2 linked regions of the Arabidopsis thaliana genome follow. The protein of the gene in region 2 interacts with the protein of the main gene of each other region in a pairwise test. Each region holds a gene or a part of one and is shown on either strand. Other genes may lie near its edges.

What was found. The genes of interacting proteins can lie anywhere in the genome.
Region 1: the proteins of AT1G73210 (region 2) and AT3G56320 interact in a two-hybrid assay, tested with the Arabidopsis thaliana proteins (one large-scale study listed by BioGRID).

The regions. Positions count from the first base shown.
Region 1 is NC_003074.8:20,885,394-20,891,883, reverse strand, and holds AT3G56320 (PAP/OAS1 substrate-binding domain superfamily), read left to right. Parts: upstream 1-2,080; 5' UTR 2,081-2,388; intron 2,389-2,581; exon of another isoform or gene 2,582-2,665; 5' UTR 2,666-2,734; exon of another isoform or gene 2,735-2,930; intron 2,931-3,176; 5' UTR 3,177-3,259; coding exon 3,260-3,505; intron 3,506-3,589; coding exon 3,590-3,769; intron 3,770-3,858; coding exon 3,859-3,951; intron 3,952-4,056; coding exon 4,057-4,239; intron 4,240-4,317; coding exon 4,318-4,420; intron 4,421-4,519; coding exon 4,520-4,702; intron 4,703-4,777; coding exon 4,778-5,259; intron 5,260-5,349; coding exon 5,350-5,691; 3' UTR 5,692-5,990; downstream 5,991-6,490. Other genes in the region: AT3G56330 (N2,N2-dimethylguanosine tRNA methyltransferase), read right to left, coding at 1-55, 149-211, 300-600, 694-894, 1,003-1,634; AT3G56310 (Melibiase family protein), read right to left, coding at 6,139-6,390, 6,485-6,490.
Region 2 is NC_003070.9:27,526,927-27,532,978, forward strand, and holds AT1G73210 (hypothetical protein (DUF789)), read right to left. Parts: upstream 4,027-6,052; 5' UTR 3,528-4,026; coding exon 3,432-3,527; intron 2,709-3,431; coding exon 2,524-2,708; intron 2,419-2,523; coding exon 2,184-2,418; intron 2,099-2,183; coding exon 2,013-2,098; intron 1,926-2,012; coding exon 1,834-1,925; intron 1,753-1,833; coding exon 1,502-1,752; 3' UTR 1,128-1,501; exon of another isoform or gene 1,050-1,127; intron 834-1,049; 3' UTR 826-833; downstream 1-825.

The sequences.
Region 1 (6,490 bases), on a different chromosome or scaffold from region 2:
AATCTGTTTTAAGAGCATTGGGAATAATGTGAGATCTGCTAGCAGCGTAACCCTCCTGCAAAAATCCAAGGAGCAGAGCTTTTTAACTTTGTACCTTCAGATCAGTTTCTTCAGAGATCAAAGCTGTGAGAATCTAACTACTATTTACCTTAACTAGTGCACTCATCATCTTCTTCAACGGAGGTGAGTTCATCTTCGCACGGCTCGCCATCTAATCACGAAAACAAATCTTTTATCATGTAATGTGAATGAAATGCGTCTATCTTATCAATGAAATTAAAATCATGGTTTTAGAGGACCTCATCCATTTTTGTGTATCCAGGTGGTAGTCTGGGATCACTTTCTTCAATCATTATACTGAGAAGCTTGTCCAGATCCATGCCAGTGCCTTCACTGACCCATCCCCATTCCTTTGCCAATTCCAGCATTTCCGTAACATAGGATGCATCATGAAGCGGTCCGAGCCACATTGGTCCTGACACAACCAGTGAAGAAGAAGCCTTTGTATCACTGCAGGGACATCCCATCAAACCAAGTTCATCGAATCTCAATGTATGAGAATGGCCACATAGATTACAGTGCGTGACAAAACCATAGTTCCTACAGTTAAAAGACACAAAACAACTCCAATTAGAAACGCAACATAACCAAAACTCAATTCCTTTCGAGTCAAATTCTAAATGTAGAAACAACCTGTCCTCATGTAGCTTCCCACGGTGAACCCTCAGCATGACTCTAAACACAGGTCCGTGATAAGAATAGTACGAGAAAAGAGGCGTAACATGATAACCAAGCAGAGCAGCTTCTCTCACTGCTCCACCTATAAGCATCCGCAGCCCAATCTCATTCCCAAACGGCATTGGTCGAATAAATGCTCCATAAGCTGCTAAAGAACTACACCAAAACAAACCAAGAAATTTTTCAACTTTCAATCTCCTAGTCCCTAAATCATATCATGATTCCTAAAATACCACAAAGACTAATGGTATTGCTTTCACTCACTTATAAGGTCTGTGACCACCAGAAGAGTAACCATCAGTCGACGTCAAGTAAAGCAAACCACCCAATCTCAATGCATTAAACGCATCTCTCAAAAACGAAGAATCACTTCCAAACGAATCAATATCAATCATATCGAAGAAATCCGCAACCATATATCTCTCAATCATCGCTTTATTAGCCAACATATGAGTCACAACCCATCTCCTCTCATCTCCAGTACCTCTCTCTACTTTACTCAAATTATCCGTAATCACTCTCCGATTATCATCATTTGCGTCGTTCGCCATCACGAAATCAGCTTCAGCTTCCACAAGATAACGAAGCGACCTAATTCCACATCCGCACATTGCGTCGAGTACCCGTAAGCTTCCATTAGATCTCTTGTATAGCGTCGCTGACAAAACACCGAGGTCTCGTCCTCTAGCGCTTTCATGGCGGAAAAATGTCTCTCCCGTTTCAAATTCGAGATTCCTCTCAATTTGAACCTCGGATTTCACTAAAATTCGATCAAAACTACATTTCAAGCTCTTGAATCGACATGAATCTGGAGATTTACATTTAGGGTTTTGCGATTTGTGCACAGTGAAGAAGGAAGAAGAAGATAGGGTTTTAGGAGAGAGAGTCAACAACATAGCGGGAAAAAAAAAATCTGATTGTTTTGCTTGATTTTTTTTTTTAATCGTCTATCTAAATTAGTCCGTCCGATATTATGCCACGTGTACGGAAGAGATAAAAACCTCGTATTAGTAGGCCACGTCGTCAATCTTATGATTAGTTGGGTCCCACTTGTGTAATCGTCTATACTCGAGTCCACCTAAAGATACGATACACTTTTTTCCCTTTCATGGAATTGAGTTTCTACTGTTTCTGGAATTCTGGGTTTTGGAATTTGGAGAAATTAGGGTTTTTGTTGAATCATTCAAAAACATTGACCATGAAGATCATAGAGACTAAGAGTCTCCAACAAGAATGAAGAAAATCTATTTTTTTTCTTGGGTTGAAAATTATTTGAGAGGAGCAGGTGAAGTTAATTTTTTTCTCATTGATACAAAAATGGCAGATTGTTTTAGAGTCTCCACTATTATGAACCTTCCATAATTTTTTATTTTATTTTTGCTTATATTATCCCTTAATTTTTTGTCTTGGTGATAATTCTCTTTCTCCCCTCAATTAAAAAAAAGTTTATAGTATCGGTTTCTCTTCTCCTGATCAATGAATACAAATCGGTATTCGTAAACAATCCCTTCCGTTTCATTTTACTGACTCATATCTGTTTTTATCTGGGTTTTTATTTCTTTTCCCCTTTGTGTTTCAAAAAAGTTTTTGGTGTAACGTTTATTATCCATAAGATCCAAAAAAAACTAAAGCTGGAAATTTTGTTTCGAGGTGAGATAATCTTTGCTTAATCTTTAGGAATCCAATGAATACAAGCTTAATTTGCCTCTTAATCCTCGTTATCGGAGAAAGCAAAATGATGTTTCGTGTGAATCTCGTTTTTTGATTTTTGGGGTTTTCTCTTTTGTCTTAATCCATCTTCGTGGTCCTTGTGAAGCTTAAAGATGAAAACCAAAATGTCATATTTTTTTTCGTGTGAAAATGTCGATTCGTTACAAATCTTAAACCCTGTTCCAAGTTTTGATTTTTTTTGTTTGTTTGTTAGCAGGAATTAAAGCTTCTTGAATATTCAAAGATTAGCCCAAAGAATCTCTGGACAACTGGTCTAAAACCGCAGGTACGCCTTTCACTACTTAAACCTCTCAATTTTGTCAACAAAAAAAAATGATTTTGGAAGAGACAGAGCTGAGACTTCTGAGCTAATAGTCATTTTTTCCTAAGGTATAATCATCACTCACGCAGGATAGTTTAGCTGTTTTGTTTTGTTTTCCTTTATAAATATTCGATTTTGCTCTGAGAAGCTAAACATTAGGGTACCTACCTAACACTGAATTCACTATTGGCATGCTCTGTTTCATTTTTTTATGTCTCTTGCTTAGGATGTAATCTCACTCACTCTCTGGATTAGCCTCGATTGTTCTTAATCAAATTTGGGAGCTCTAGTTATTAGACAATCAACTTTTACCTTGACTTCATTTTTTTCTTTTTCTCTGTCTAATGTGATGACAAAAAGGCCAATTTGAAATATTTTGTAATTCTGTTTGTTCTGTTGTTTGTAGATATCATAATTATATAAGGGGCTCATTGAGTTGTTGAGGATTCCTGTGTTATCACTCTGATGTTAGTTTGAAGTTATGCGCACATGGGTGAAATTCAAGAAAGATTGTCAGTTTCATCATCTTCGTCTTCTTCATCATCCTCATTGTCACTATCAACGGCACTACCTAAAGGAGATTCATTGCCGATAGATGCAGATTCTTGGATGATTGCAGAGGAGAGAGCTCATGAGATACTTTGCACTATCCAACCTGCCCTTGTTTCAGACAGAAGTAGGAATGAGATCATTGATTATGTACGAACTCTTATCATGAGTCATGAGGGAATTGAGGTTAGAAACTCCGCTTCTCTTTGCTGACATGTTAAAGATTTATGCTGTTTTGTTAACTTTCTATGGGAACTTGTTTATCTACAGGTCTTTTCATTTGGTTCAGTGCCACTAAAAACCTATCTCCCGGACGGGGATATCGATCTGACTGTCCTAACTAAGCAAAATATGGATGACGATTTTTATGGACAATTGTGCAGTAGGCTTCAGAATGAAGAAAGAGAATCTGAATTCCATGCAACAGATGTTCAGTTTATCCCTGCACAGGTCTCTTTGTTTATTTACTTTTTGGTTTCGTTTTTGTATTTTCTTGGTTGCCCAAATTTTCCTTAAGAAAGTTTGCTGATATATGATAGGTCAAGGTCATAAAATGCAATATCAGGAACATTGCTGTTGATATCTCTTTTAATCAAACGGCAGGTCTCTGTGCTTTATGTTTTCTGGAGCAGGTACTATCAGCTATTCAAAATCAGGCTCCAGAGGTTTACTAAACAGATTATTGCCTAGCTTTGATTCTTAGTTGTTGGTTAAACTCTGGTTTTATGTATTCTCAGGTTGACCAACTCTTTGGGAGAGATCATCTTTTCAAGCGTAGCATCATCCTTGTCAAAGCTTGGTGCTATTACGAGAGTCGAATTCTTGGTGCTAACACTGGATTGATCTCAACATATGCATTGGCAGTACTAGTTTTGTACATCATCAACCTGTTTCATTCATCTTTATCTGGCCCTTTAGCGGTAATCACTCTTTTTCTGAACCTTCAGCATCCTCTACATATATGCAAAAGATGAGAATATAGCATTGTCTTTCAACAGGTTCTGTATAAGTTCTTGGATTACTATGGTTCATTTGATTGGAACAACTACTGTATCAGTGTCAATGGTCCTGTGCCAATATCGTCCCTTCCAGAACTTACAGGTAAGGATGATGCCAAAAATCACAGATACTTCTCTTCGTGGCATTTTCTTGGCGCTATTTGACGTTTTAATTTGGTTCTTTCTCTTTCTATCTTTCCAGCAGCATCTCCAGAAAATGGGCATGAGTTATTACTTGACGAGAAGTTTTTAAGAAACTGTGTAGAGTTATATTCTGCTCCAACTAAAGCTGTTGACTCAAATGGTCTTGAGTTTCCTATCAAACATCTCAACATAGTTGATCCTCTAAAATACAGCAACAACCTCGGCAAAAGTGTTACACAAGGTACTCTATTGATAAAAGTTATACAACCAATATAGCAGTTGTCAAATATTAATTATTTTAAAAACATTTTGTTAGGAAATGTCCAACGAATAAGACATGCTTTTACACTTGGAGCTCGAAAGCTAAGAGATGTTCTTTCACTACCTGGTGACACCATGGGATGGAGATTGGAGAAGTTCTTTCGTAACTCTTTGGAGAGAAATGGTAAGGGACAAAGGCAAGATGTGAATGATCCCGTTACTGCTTTCGGTACTGGAAGATCAGAATTATCTGAACTTAGTGGAGATTTCGATAGTTCCTTTGGAAGACTTGTGTATGGGCAAATGTATCATGGGCATAGCTTACCTGGAACATTTCAGCATGGCTATATCCCGGTTAGTTCTCACCTGAGTGGTTGGGATATTGTTCGTCACCTTGTGACTTACCGAAAGAACGAGTTCCATCTTAGAAGTCTCAATGTATCAACCTCTATGCAGCCTTTTCCTTTGCATTCTTTACCTAATGGCTGTCAAAACATGAGAAAGACGAGAGGAACCGGCACTTATATTCCTGACATGGTATGCGATTAACCCCTTTGACGGACATTTTGGCTTAAAAATTAACTTATTGCTGCAAGCTTCTGAATTGCTTCTCAATGGTTGTTGCAGAGTCAACAGGTATACTCTGACAGGTTCAGAGAATCAGGTACTGGAACCTCATCAACGAATCATTTAGAAGCTTCCTCTGAGGCAATAGACAATGATGGAGCCAGTAGTTGCTGCAATCTTTCCGGTGAAGTGTCTACTTCTTGTACCAGTAACAAAGGAGAAGAATGTGTGAGACCAGAGAGTGTGCTGAAATCTCAAAGATCTGCGAATTTGGAGCTTGATGACAATTGCCAATTTCCACCACCAGAAAACCTAGTAGAACCTAGAACTTCAAGCACATTGGTATTGGAAAATGGCAAAGAAGAGAGTATCAGATCCTCCCAAACCATGAACGGCTCTTGACTTTTAGTGACTGTGACCGAAGCTTTGGTTGTTATCTTGACACCTTCAGGATTACTAGGTTCTCTTAACCACATGGACAAACTCTATTTAGTATTCAAAACTCTATATAGGATTCAAAAGATCCATCAGGAACTTGTTTTGACCAATGTTTCATTAGAGATCTCTTCTTCATTGTTGGTAGGTCAGAATATACAAAAGTGGTATAGATTAAGAGTTGATTTGGCATTTGTCTTTTCTTTGGAATCAAGATCCTTCAGACTTTTTATCTAAATTTTTATATGAGATTCAGTTTTACTTCTTGTCACTTCTGGCAATTTGTTTAGAGAGTGACAAACATTTAAAGTTGTCCGGGTAACAACAGGTTTCACGTTTTACAAGATACACGAGTATACAGAAACACAAAGGCAATCTCTGTTCTTTGGGATTTGAATGCCTCACAATAAAGAACTATACATCAGAGTGTGATACTGTCTGGGGAGTGAGAACGTACATATGACAGTCGTGTGCGTCAACTTGAGCTTCAAAGGAGCCAGAAGTATTCTCTGTTACATCTTTGTGCTGCCACAAATCTCTTACTGAAACGCTAATGGTAGATTCAAGACCGATCATATCCCATGATGCTGTAATAGTTGCTGGCTCAGAGCAACGGTTCCAGAGAGCAACTACCATACGGTCACCAGATAAAGGTCCTGACCACACCTGCAATGAAACAGTTATCACCAATTTGAGTCCTTGAGTTTGTTTTTTCTGCTTTCTCTATGAGTTTGATAATTCTGTGACTCCCAATTCATACCTGCTG
Region 2 (6,052 bases):
TCTTAACATATTAATATGAAATAGGATTTTTTGTTTACTGATTTGATATATTTAGTATTGATTTTATGATTAAATTTTATGTTTTTATTTTAAGTAGATGATAATTTAGATTTTATTACTTATTGTGTGTACACATGAAAATCTACATAAATTCATTTCAAATCGCTAAAGACATAAAGATTTCAAGAATCCATTGCATGTGTTTTTATAGGTTGGATAATTTGGTTAAACTCAAAATTATATCAAAATATTGTGTATTGTATTTTAAATTTACTACATGTTAATGTTACCATTAATTATGTTTGATTGTTAATGATCTACATGTTAAATTTCAGGGTTTAATCGATTTGAATGCAATAAATAAGAAAATGCCAACAAAAATGCAAAGAAGAAATTGTCAATATAATTTTAAATTTACTACATGTAATTTCATATAAAGTTAGCATTAATTATTTTTGATTGTAAGTGAATTACATGTAAAATTTAGGGTTCGATCGATATAAATGCAATAAATAATACAACGACAACAAAAATTGACAAAACGATCGGTTGTGATTGTAAATATCATTAAATTGTCTATATAATTTAAAATGTACAACAATACATTTCATTTCATATACAATTAGCATTAATCTTTTCGTTTGTCAGTTATCTAAATTTTAAAATTCAGGATAAGATCAATTTTAATACGATAAATAAGAAAACGACAACAAAAATTGTAAAAACAGTATGTTACAATTGTAAATGTTATGAAACTGTCTATATTATTTGTATACCATGTAGGCATATACCTACCTGTGTTCAACAAAAAAATAAAATAAATACTTTTTTACCTGTGTTCGACAGTAAATATCAGCCCGATATAGCAAAACAATTTTGTTGAACTAGTAAGTTTGACTGTTTCAGTTTGGGATTGCACAATTCTTTTAAGCTTCGAAAAGAACATAGAAACAATTTAAATTAAATTATAAAGAACATAGAAAAAAAAGTATGCAACAACTGTTACTAAGTAAATATTGTATGACAACATCGTCATCATATTCAACACTAAAAAATCTTGAAAAGAAACGAAAGGACATATCAAATCTATCAAAAACAGTCTTCTTCTTCCACTCATACCGACATACAAGAAAGACAGATTTTTTTATATATTTTAGACAGAAAAGTACAAAACAGAGTCCTCTGTTCAAGGTCAATTTACATGATCTCTCACCCAAGAAAAGAAAACAACTTTCTTGTTTTCTCAACACCGTTAAAAAAAAAGAAAAAAAAGCTCTGTTTTCTTCTTAGAAACTTCCATGATTGGCTTGCAAAAGGAGAAAAAACTCCGCGATGGCGGTTGCTACCTAAAACAACACAACGAGCCAGACAAAAACAAAAAGAACAAAAAACACAGAGAAACAAAAGGAGCTTGAAAACAACAAAGAAAAAGGGTTATGAGGTCTTTTTTTTTTGTTTAAGGTTTGGAGAAGGATAAACATACGAACGACCCGATTGATCTTTAGAAGCTCGAGTTAAGGAAGAAGTTATAGTCATGGTGATCAACATTGAGCTGTTTCAGCCATGAATCCGCAGCGCTTTGAAGATAAAGCAACCGGTCCTGGTCAAACCCCGTCTTCCCCCAAAGATCTCCTTGCATTTTGTAAGTTGTTACACCAAACGGAGGCAATGGCATTCTCTTGTTTATTACGGAATCTTCACAAAACTCTGTTTCTTCATTGTTGTTGCTTTGATCTCCTTCCACCACATTATCTGCAGCATTTTTAACACCATTAATAAAACCAGAAAATGGTGCTTGTTACTGAGCAATGAATTCGAAGTGATCATACGTACCTTGAAAAGACGAAGATAGAGTATGATAAGTTAGGAAGCCTGTCGTCAAATCTTTCTCGTTCCTGCAGGTTGGGATGTGGTATATCGGGTACCTAATTCATCAAACCATCACTCAATCACTATTTCTAGCAGTTAACCAAACAGGAAGGGTTTTGTTAACTTAACAAAGAACTACTTACCACGCAACAGCCATCCAACTTGCAGGAGACATGTCGACACTCCTTAAGGTCATGAGTCCCGGATATTTCTCCACCAATACGTTTATCTGAACAAGAACCAAGAACGTTACTTTCGTTTCAAAACTGAGAATGAGGTTACTAAGAAATGAAAATGAAAGGAGAGAAGAGAACCTTGTCGGTTAAGGGAATCCGCTTGTGCGGAGGATCTCTTTCAATGTACTTAAAGTCAAGGTTACCAAGTCTATCTTTCAGCAACGGTGAACCATCCGGATCGAAAACCGAATCTTCAGAGACAGCATCCCATGTTTTGCTTGAATCATTGCTCATTGACCTTGACAACAACTTTTCACTCTCACTATCGCTCCAACCCTCGCTACTCTCAGATTCAGCCACCTCATTCTGGTTCCTGCAACACCCAAGAACAAACCATCAAGAGATGTTCTAATACTTCCATAGTCAAACTTTCATCACAACAGACTAAAATGTCACAGAATCAAGTGGGAAACGTAACCTGGAAAGCAAGGCGGGTTTGTTAGTGTGGATTTGGATAGCGGATAGGTACGGGACGTAGTACTGCATAACGGTTTCGCCATTGTTTAAATCAACCTGTGTGCCAAAGCCATACGCACTCATCTCATCATAACAATCCCAGAGATCACCAAGCCTGAAATACTCAATCTCCTCCTTTCCCTGTTCCTGCCACAAATTGTTAATATCATCAACTCACAAAGCTCTGAAACTAACACACTACAAAGCAGCACACTGAAAGCCAATGTTTAGCTGATAATCTAGCTATCATTAACTCCTAATTACCCCCAAAATGTAAATGCAACAACATGATCTTTAGGTTATTAGACCAACATGTATTGAGCTCTTAATCCATAATCAGAGATATAAACCAAGATTACTGAATAAGACAACCTTGTAATGATACAGAACCAGAGGATATACCAAAGCAACCAAGAAGATTCAACCAAAACTCAGTACTTAGCTAATGGATTACTGAATATAATAGTAATATAAAAAATAGTTGAGTAAAGCAATTCTGTCGCACGTTTCCACGTGGTGTTATAGAATCCATAAACTGATGTGACACCATTTAAATTGGATATAGATTTCATAGATAATTTTTCTCCTTGATGGACCATGCAATTATTGTCTCTATAGCCCAAATCTCATCTGAAAACTCACACCAAATCATTAAACTATTACAAGTTCTAGGTTGTCTGATACATCACCCTTGATTAAAAATAAGACCTTTAGGACAAAATCTGCTGATTAGAGACGAGAGATTTGTGGGGAGAGACAATCGATTAAAATAGTTTTTTAAAATTTGATTAGTTGAGGCTTAAGACCTTAATTTACCCCCAAATTAAGGATTAGTCTAAGAGAATGAAGAATTAAAAAAAAAAAAATTACCTGAGGAAGAGAGAAGGAAGGAGGCTTAGGAGTGATTCCTAAAAGAAACCTCTCCAGATTCGAACGACCTTTAGTTGAAGAAGACCACCACCACATTCTCTCAATTCTTCTTCTTCTTCTGCTTGTTCTTGGTCGTCTCAATCTCTCTGATTTGAGATCTTTATAAACAAATTTGAGTCCACAAAATGGAACACAAAGTTTGGAAATTTAATAATTTCCAGATTATTTTAGTATTTACATAGAATCTTTTTATGTAAATCCCATTACTCAGATTCTCACCCAATATTCCAAAAAAAAAAAAGATAACTCTCACCAAAAAAAAAAAAAAACAAGAACACAGATTCTGGGTTTTGTTAAAAATCGAAGCTTTCGATTATAAAGAGAAAATGAGAATCATAAACTGGGGTTTTTTTTTTGACTTTATCTCAGATTTTGAGGTTACAGTTTTAACTCTCAGATGAAAAATGGGGACAGAGAAACTGAAGTAGAGAGGTTGAATAAAGAAGCTTTCAGAGTAGGATTTGCTTTGTATTAATGGAAGAAGGAAACGAAGAGGACGAAACGCTTCTTCTCTTTCTCTTTCTCTTTCACTCACTCTGATCCTTTTTTTATTTGATTTATTATGTTATTAATTTCCAATTTTTTAATAAACCAAAACCCCCCTCAAGTATGAAACTGAAGACTTTTGTTTCTTTCTAACACAAATAAATAAATTATATAATTAATAAAAAAAGACAACTCGTATCTAGCTGAATTAAAAAAGAGTGGATTGCGATATTTATTATTACATAATAATCATAATTGTATATTTATATAGATAGCAAAGAAAAAAAAAATTAGAAAATGTGGACATGATTACGTCATTACAAATTTACAAGTACACCAAAAATCTAGTCATATTGCAAATAAAAATTAAATTGGTTATTTATACATCGAATGTGTTGATGACCTTTTTTTTGCATTATGTATTTATCTAAGAAGATAATTAGCTAAATATGGATTAAATGAAATTTTGGAGATCACGAGGACGTTAGGCATAACAACTAAAATAAACCCTTTTAAAATTGTGCGGTGAGTGATAAAGCTTTTCGAAAACAGCCATTAATAAGATTTTGTTTTTTTTCGTAAGTTTTGTTATTGACGTAATATATTTAATGTTTTTTTTTAATATAATGGTTTAAGAAACTGTAAAGACACAAATATAATAAACGGAAAGAGTTGTTTAATGCTGATTACTGGTTAGTTTATGTAGATATTTTATGAGAGATATTACATGTCTTTTATAGGTAATATATCTCTATTTTAAAAAATATATATATATATATTTCTAGTTTTTCTCACAAACAAAGAATATCTTATAGGATAGCAAATTATATATGTTTTAAAAATATATATATATATATATATATAGTATATAGCAAATTATATAGTTTTTAGAGCTCTAACAAAGAAAAATGTTCTTATTCTCAGTCGATAAATAATAATTTAAGCATTTTTTTTGGAATTGTGATTTTACTATTTCATCACTAGTTTTTGTTTTGAGGAACTAATAAAACATTATTTTCTAAAATAATTTACTTTGAAATGAGAAAATAACTAATATCCGTCATGTTTATTTTGTCGTTAAATTGATTCATTAACAGGAAATTACAGAGTGAATACTTAATACCAAGATATTACATATTTCTGAGAATTAAGTATACCTGATTTAGCTATATATATCTATATCTCATCTGCAAGACTGCAACATTTGTTTTCGGCTAATATGCTGAAAGTCAAAACTTGCAAAATTGGGATAGCAAAAGGTAAATTGCTATGAGAAAGTGTTTCAATCTTGATTTGAACTGTTGAAGGTTTTTGTAATAGACGTCATATTTAATCCAGCATAGGAGACTAGGAGTCAATACCGACGTAAACTTAATTATCAGACTAAAAAAAAGTCAGAAGGAAGATAATTATAACACAAGTACAATAAATAATTTTTTAAGAATGTGAGAATGTGAGAGTGAAATAAGAAGAGCGAAGTATGCGAACACTGAAGAGTGTTGTGTCGGAGCAGTGCGTTTACTGCTAGACAGACGCGTGTTTGCCAAAACTGCGTCGGTCTCTCGCGTTTTGCTTCTTCTTTTTTATTCTTTTCAATTTTTCTTTCTTTCTTTACACTGTCTTCTTTTTCTTCTTTTTTTCCCAGTTTAATTATTCAAAATCTTATCAATTATTTTATTTTTCTAAATCACGCTCGAGGCTGATTCTTTCATTCAAAATCAATTGTATTCTTACTAATTTCCAATGTTCTAAGTATTTTTTTCATTTGTGATTAGCAATTACTGAAACTGTATTAAAAAATTCTACCGACGAGGTAAATGGAGTCATGTGTGGTATAGATTAGTGTAAGAAAATGGATAGTGGACATTGAAATGATTAATTAACTCACTACATAGTCTCTAAAATAGATGCTATAGCATCTAATAAAAAGTGTAAATGATCAAGTTGGATTCTAGAAAGCTCTCAGCAATTTCTTTTGTTTTTTGTGAAAGAGCATTTTCCTATAAAAGATTTAAATTATATTGAGATGTCAAAGAAAGGAAAAAACAATCTGAAAATGATATTGTTTGTTTTAA